Linked DNA regions of Nothobranchius furzeri. The protein of the gene in region 2 interacts with the protein of the main gene of each other region in a biochemical or structural test. Links are inferred from orthologs where the notes say so. Each region holds a gene or a part of one and is shown on either strand. Other genes may lie near its edges.

The links.
Region 1: of the proteins of prkaa1 (region 2) and rack1, one has a biochemical effect on the other in vitro, tested with the Homo sapiens proteins (2 studies listed by BioGRID). The link is inferred for Nothobranchius furzeri from reciprocal best matches to the Homo sapiens genes PRKAA1 and RACK1.

Annotation. Positions count from the first base shown.
Region 1 is NC_091741.1:97,232,496-97,236,687, reverse strand, and holds the start of rack1 (small ribosomal subunit protein RACK1), read left to right. Parts: upstream 1-1,390; 5' UTR 1,391-1,502; coding exon 1,503-1,611; intron 1,612-2,074; coding exon 2,075-2,246; intron 2,247-3,447; coding exon 3,448-3,595; intron 3,596-3,883; coding exon 3,884-3,979; intron 3,980-4,138; coding exon 4,139-4,192. UniProt on the Homo sapiens protein: Scaffolding protein involved in the recruitment, assembly and/or regulation of a variety of signaling molecules. Interacts with a wide variety of proteins and plays a role in many cellular processes.
Region 2 is NC_091746.1:66,863,079-66,866,725, forward strand, and holds the end of prkaa1 (5'-AMP-activated protein kinase catalytic subunit alpha-1), read right to left. Parts: intron 2,810-3,647; coding exon 2,532-2,809; 3' UTR 164-2,531; downstream 1-163. UniProt on the Homo sapiens protein: Catalytic subunit of AMP-activated protein kinase (AMPK), an energy sensor protein kinase that plays a key role in regulating cellular energy metabolism.

The DNA.
Region 1 (4,192 bases), on a different chromosome or scaffold from region 2:
AGAAGTTTGAAAATGACATGTTTTAGAAAGTAAAACGTCATCTGCTAGGATGATCAAGTCTTACAGTGAGAGGAGGCTTACCATACAATTTTTTTCTAAGCACACAACACTGTTACCAATATTCTCACTTCAGCCTAATGTAACAGTGTTGAAATAGTGTAGCTGTGCAGTAGTTTACATATAGAAATATCAGATTATTCATAAAACATACCAGTAGAAAGCCTGGAAATTGAAGGATTCCAAATGTTGTTCAACATGTGAGATAAAACATTAATTATTTTGTAGCGTGGCATCATTGTCTTGTCTGTAATTGGCCTTTTTTTATTAGGTTATATGTTTTTATGGTTGTTTTATATTGTCTTATTTGTACTTGTTGCCTGCTGTATTGTCCAGCACCTTGGGTGTTTGATGAGATTGTGGAAGGGACATTACAATCTTCTGTGCATTCATTCTGGGTCTTTTTAACTTGTATTTTTTTTTTGGTTCTCTTTTAAACACAGGAAAGAAAAGTTTTCTTCTCTGTGTTTAAAAAAGAACCAATAAATAAATAAATAAATAAATACAAGAGACTTTACAAATAAAGTGAAATGAAATGAAAATTCAAATTTTAAAGATTGTTTGTTAATCAGTACACAAGTATAGAGCAGGCATGTATGTGGCCCTCATTTGTCGCCCTTGGAGCAATTTATGTCACTGTCGTCCCCCCCCCCCCCCCCCCCAACATTGTATGTTCAAACTTAATAGTCCATTTTGACAAATTTTAGGGAGTACAAATGCAAGAATAAATATTTTTAGCATTTAAAAAATGTATATGTTGTGGCCTACAAGGACAGTTAACTTGCTGATTTTGGCTCTTATCTAGGAAAGTTTGGACATCCCTGGTATAAAATATATCAAGGCGTCAACTTTAAAGCCGCCTTTCACATGAAAAGAAACAAATATTATGGGATTAAAGCTCGTGTGTGTGTGTGTGTGTGTGTGTGTGTGTGTGTGTGTGTGTGTGTGTGTGTGTGTGTGTGTGTGTGTGTGTGTGTGTGTGTAACATAAAGTATAAAAAATACGGACGTTTGTAAAATATAGAATATTCTAAAATCAGAAAATTTGTGTCCATCACAGACATTTTATTTTACTGGTGCTATGTTTCGTAAGAGCTTAATTTCCTTTATTCATTCAGACAGAAACATATCAGGGATGTGCACAGCTGTTACCAATAACCAAATCAGTGTGTATTACTTATATATAATGGTGATGTGTTGTAAGTGAAATGTTTTATCATGTTTCTAAACAGTCCCCTTCAGTCTTTTCTTGTAGCACACTTGGATGACTTGGGGAAAAAAACATATCCCAGAATGCTCTGCGAGCCCTTCACCCCTCTTAGTTTTTGCATCCGGGTCTGTACTTCCTTTTCCTCCGTGCCTAGATGCGATGAGGACCTAGGTTTTTACGAACCTGAGAAATATCCGAATCCATCCTTGTAAAAGGCACCACCGAACCTCGTCAAAATGACCGAGCAGATGACAGTGAGGGGGACCCTGAAGGGCCACAGTGGATGGGTCACCCAGATCGCCACTACCCCTCAGTATCCCGACATGATTCTGTCGGCGTCCCGAGGTGAGGCTTCCCCCGCCGGCAGCCGCCAACATGGCTACAGCTAGCTTTGTAAGCTAGCAGTGACTCTTTGGTAATGTTACAAAAATACGATTTTTGCGGAAGTGGCAGAAGACCGCTGAAATGTGATTACAACAGCCTAAAGGCTCATTAATCGCTTATAGTGAACATTTGCGACTTCAGAAGTGGAGGAAACCTGGTGTAGTTAAACTTGTGCTTTCTAGCGTCATTAGCTGGATCTACTGTGTTTCACTCCTGGGTTTACACCAACATAGCACCGACACTGATTCATCCAGTTAAACATCAGACTACTTGACATGAGGTTATAAGGCCTTGAACCAAGCGCTGCAATGTGATATTAACTTGATATTAACTTAAGTGCTAGCTTCGCATGCTAATGCTACCTACCTGCTCTTTGCTTTAGGCAATACTCCTGAGTCCTGAACCTTATGTGTTAAACTTTCAGACAAGTCCATCATCATGTGGAAGCTGACTCGTGACGAGACCAACTATGGGATCCCTCAGCGCTCTCTGAGGGGCCACTCTCACTTTGTAAGTGATGTTGTCATCTCCTCGGATGGACAGTTTGCTCTCTCAGGCGCCTGGGACGGCTCCCTCCGACTGTGGGACCTCACCACGTAAGTACAGCTAGGAAGAAAGCTTCTACATCAGATCCGCTGTCCTGTAAATATATCTCTTTACCCGTTTACCTGCTCCCAACATATTTAAATGTGTGAGAGCATCTAGAGAAGTCAACTTAGGAAGGTTGTGATGAAATCAGTTAATCTGGGTCCTTTAGAGCAGGAAACGTGTGGAACTTGCAGGATGGTACCCCTCAAGGAAAAAAGTTGCTGACCCTTGATCTGCATCATCTAAGCATCTATGTGGAACACAGTTTAAACTAGTTAATGCTTTTCTTTTTAGAAATAAGTAAGTTGGTAAAGACTTGCATGTTTGTATTAGCTGGAAGTATGTCCTTTCTAAATTTAAGTTGTAACAAACATCCTGGATAGTTTTAAAGATATGATTTGTCACCTTTGTTCTATAAATGAAAATGTGTTTGAACCGATGTTAACACACAGTCCGCGCTAATGCGTATTTGTTACTAGAGCTACAAACATTTCAGCACTTATGACCTCTAAATACCAAGTTGCCAGGGAACATAACTTAAGCCATAAAACAGTTGGGAAATGACATCTAGTTAAGCTACACCATGTGTAAACCCAATCTTGGTGAACAAACTTCATTTGCGTGTACATGACCGTGCAACAGCTTTTTATACTAGTGTTTTGTACCACAGATAGAACTTCAGTAATCTCGCACTAAATAATAAACAGCAGACATTTAAAAATGCAGTTATATACAATTACAATGTTTGTCAGAGATCCTATAAAATAAATTCTCCCAGTTTCTTGTACCCGACACTGTTGTTCCACAGTGTTATTGTCCTTACTACACCTTCATCACTTTATACACTCCTTAGTTGTGACTTAAGAGAACAGTAGATCTAAATAAATGGGTTTGGGGTTTATACAGGAATAAAACTACAGTCCATGTTTGAACAGTTTTAATCATCTAAGTGAGGAGCTGGAATTTGATTCTGGCTAAAGTGCTGGAACCCGATATAAACTGAACCTAAAAAAAATTGTCATTGATCGGCATTAAGGTTTGTGTACTAAAGTGATTTGTTTGAATACAAGTGGGGAAAAAAACTGTTTTAACTCCTTAAATGACTGTAGCTTGTAGAGGCCATAATTAGTAGAGGAGGGCAGGCATTTTAAACTGTAAACTTAATATAGCTTTATTCTAATCGGACGTCTTAATCTTGTGTTTTTCTAGTGGCACCACCACCCGTCAGTTTGTTGGACACACAAAGGATGTTTTGAGTGTGGCTTTCTCTGCTGATAACCGTCAGATTGTATCTGGCTCCCGAGACAAGACCATCAAGCTGTGGAACACTCTTGGAGTCTGCAAGTACACCATTCAGGTGAGCTGTCACTTAATGCTGCTGCTGCTGCTGCTTAGAGCTGTTCCTTCTTTGGTTTTCATTTAGTTTTTGTTCAAGCTTTTTTTTTTTTTTTTAACTAGTTTTACATTTTCTGAGGTAGAGCACACAGCTCAGCCATCAGCTGGAGCATTGTGGACTAAATCTGTATGATGGTTTTAAGTGTGTAGTGTGTCAGGATCATGGAATAAGTCTCGGTGGTTACATGAGCTAAAGTGAGCCATTGTTGGGATGAGCTGAACTTTAAACTGTTCAAACTTGATTTTGCAGGATGAAGGCCATTCTGAGTGGGTGTCTTGTGTTCGCTTCTCCCCCAACAGCAGCAACCCCATCATTGTCTCCTGTGGCTGGGACAAGGTGGTCAAGGTATGGTTTACTAGTAATTTGCTAATGTTTGGTCCTGGTTAGATGGTTTAACTTAGTTTGCATTTATTAGCTGACTACTTGCGTAAGACAACCTTTTTTATGATTAGCTTCCATGTTGGATGTTGATGTTTGTTCTGTCTCGGGTGTGATGCCTCTCAGGTGTGGAACCTGGCCAACTGCAAGCTGAAGACCAACCACATTGGTCACACTGGC
Region 2 (3,647 bases):
TAAAAATGTATGTAAAAAAACTAGTATGAAAATGTGCAAATGTAATAAAACTACTTTTTACACTGACTTTCAAGTGTTATTCTGCTCAAAAATAACACTAATACAATTTTGCATTACTAATAAATCAAAATGTAATCATGAAAAAGATTCAAAGACAGCAGTGTGCAATTTATTAGCATTTATTAGGCAGTTGCGTATACAAATGATTCAACACTTTCATTCAGATTTACACTGATCAATCCGATAGGGTCCATTCTCACTCCAAACAAAAATAGAGCTTTTTTAAAACTATATGAAGCTGTTCTATCAGACACTGAACCGAACAGCCTTTTAGGACACTTCATTTTCTAAAAGCTGGCAAAAATTTGTATTTTTTGCACACATTCACCTGTTTTCAACAAAACCCATCATATAAGGCATGGCAAGTTTTGGTCAATGCTTGCAACTGCCCTCTAAAACTAACGTGAGTGTTAAAATTTTACAACGCGTCTGCAAGACCATAAAGTTTTCGTCTTCAAATGGATTCTTTTTTTATTAACTCTGGCTTAAAACTGAGATAAAGACAAACTAAACATTTTTGCCATACCTGCCATACAGTACAAGAAAATATGATCACAATTATCGTCACTCTTAGCAATTTTTGAAGGAGAATCATTAAATATCTAAAAATGTGTAGATACATTCATCCTGGATTTCAAAGATCTGTAGAGCCGAAACTGGAAAAATCCAAACGCTGACAAGTTTTAAACAAATATCTAACTTTTAGGAATTTTTTTTGGTAGAAATGAGAACTTCTCCAAAAAAATAAGTTACTTTAATTTACAAAATTAGAAATCAATTTTACATCTACTTCAGTTTTTCTTAAATTCCAACCATCATCTTTACAGGCAGAGATGAATTACAGCTATTTTGGCAACATGATCCCATGTGTAGATTATGCAGTAAAATCCAAAACATCTCTAGAATATCGGACTTAACTTGGTGAGCTGAGGCTGAAAATATAAAATATGAACTTCAACCTTTAAAATTGCAGAGGTTACCAATAATTCAGGCCAGCAAAGGGCTCAAACCTGACATAAAAACTGATAAACAGTACGAATAATAAGGCAGCCAAATGGACACCAGTGAAAACCTTTAAGACTAGACAGGAAATGGAACAAGATCATACATATCCAAGACTCTTACCTTGCAAATTCTTTTACTTATTTTGTTCTGTGCCACACGTTTACTAGCTCGCTTTTATTCTTCATCTTTCTCACCATTTACAGTACCAGCAATGATCTGGTTCAGGTTTAAACAAACGATGTGCAACCTTTAAAGGAATGTGTGAGCGAAACATAAATGATGTTGACGGACGCCGTTGACGCACTGCATTTAATTGCTGCTCGTTTAAAATTGAGCACAGAGGCCTGAACACACGTGACTGATTGGCATTTCATCAAATGAATGTAAGCAAAAGACATCCCATCCAGTAATCATACTCCATAATCCAAAAGAAAAGAAAAAAATCATAATCAACTTGTCACTGTAATAAACTGATAATGATATATTTCTAGACGTTGACCGTCGTTGCAAAACACCTTCTAAAAAGCAGACTAGTTCTCTAGAAAGACAATCAAGTATCTGAATAATTGTGATTGAGGGAAACAAAGGTGTGACACTGAATTAAAAACAGCTAAAAATGAGTATATATTTAAACATCCAGCATTAGAGCGTAATGAAAGAAAAAACAAGTCATTGGAACCAAAACTCCATCCACTTAATGCATTGATAAATATTTTCAGGTATTTATTTATAAAAAAAAATATAAGTCGGAGCTGGACAATCGGTCACAACGAGGACAGAACCATGAACATTTAGTCTTTGACATTTAACAAAATAAAACCCAACATGGAGCATTCTTAAGTCCCTGACACGTACCAGAACCACAGAGGCCACTGCACTAATGTGATGTGATGGGAATGAAACGCTGCGGCGCTCTGGGACGTCGGCACCGCTTCTCTGATCCCTACTGAGGAAAAAAGGTAATAAAAAATAACAAAGCAGCAGAAAATTACAGAAACTTGTGCAAAAGTGCTTCCTGCATCCTATGAACATCACTCAATCCTCAAACTGTGGCTCCGCCCCCTCCCCGCAGCAGGTAAAAAATAAAAAAAGTGATCTTGTTCTCTGTACTGAAAAGCAGGCCTTGCAGGCTACAGCACAGAACGTTCAGTGTAATCACTTCTGCGTAATTTGTAAGTTGGGATGTTGATATCTGCTTTTAAACAGATTGAGAAATTTAAAGACCTCCCCCTCCCCGAAATGTTGTTTCCTGCTCTAGCTAGCTGGGTAGCGTAATCTCAACAACTCCTAGAGACCCAGTCAGCTCTGTATGTTTCCCCTCTGCACAGAGAACACCAACCTGCATGAGCGCCACGGAACAATCACCTCATCCTCAGTTGGGATGAAGTAAGCCATGAATCTGTTCCATGCTTATTGCTATAAAGACACTCAGAGAAGAAAAGGCTAGCGATGATTGTTTTTGCAAGCTATCGTGCAAGTAGTTTAATAAGATTCGCGCACATTTCAAAGAACTCGATGGTGTGGCTTCCTGGTCGAGGGGTGTTCTCCCCTCCCCCCGTCGAGTCGATGGACGAGGTCGAGGATGACCCTAAGGACCCTTCGGCGGTCTTGGTGGGCTGCACAGTGCTAGACGTGGCTGAAACGTCCGCCCCATCGACATCGTTCTTAGTGGTGGTGCGGTAGTTGCTCACAGAGCCAGAGCGGAGCGGGGTAGCAGTTCCAGACTTTGTCTCCACCATTTCATCTAAATAAAAAAGAAAAACTTTTTTTTTTTTAATGTATCCAAAAACAGCTCAATCGAGACCAAACAAAGGTAACATTTGAAAGCCCGCATGGTAAAAGCTGTGTGTACAGAAAACACATCAAACTTCCCAAAGGCCAATTTAGTGAACCCTTTCTTGCTCACTGTCTCGAGTGAAAACATAAATCTAACAAGTCGTGTTTGACTTTGATGACGTAAGTCTAGTTTTACCTCAACAACCTTTATACAGCACGCCTGTCCCACATAAAACACTCCGAACATTTCCCTTTCAGGTCCGTTCAAACAGCACAGACTTCCAAAGCCTTGAGCTGCACGTCAATCATTTATGAAATCTTTAGCAAGGCTCCAAACTACAGATCAGCACTGCGGACACGCAGGGAGCCACGCTTCAGCGTCAGCGTTAGACAGCTTGTTGTTTGTTTGTTGGGGAATTCCTAAAAAAAAAATCTGACAATTAAAAAAACAAAAGTTTTGTAATAAAAACATTTTGATTCCCCTCCAGAGCTTTATACTTAGAAGTTGGGTTTCTTCTTGTAAATACACGAGTCAGACATTTTTGCCTTTTTTTCTTGCACAAGTCAAATATTTAACAATCACAGTTAACGTTTTTTCACTTTCTGATTTTTCACACTTTTCTTGCAAATGTCTAAAACAAAAATGAGGAAATGAAGAAAATACCTCCCAAAAAATGTGACGTTCCTGTTTGAAATAAAACATTTTCACATTGGGATTACACACTTTTAACCCCCCCCCCCCCAGCTAAATGAATAATATTTATAATCTGCAGCAGCCTAGTGCATGTAGGAGTCATATGTCTGGA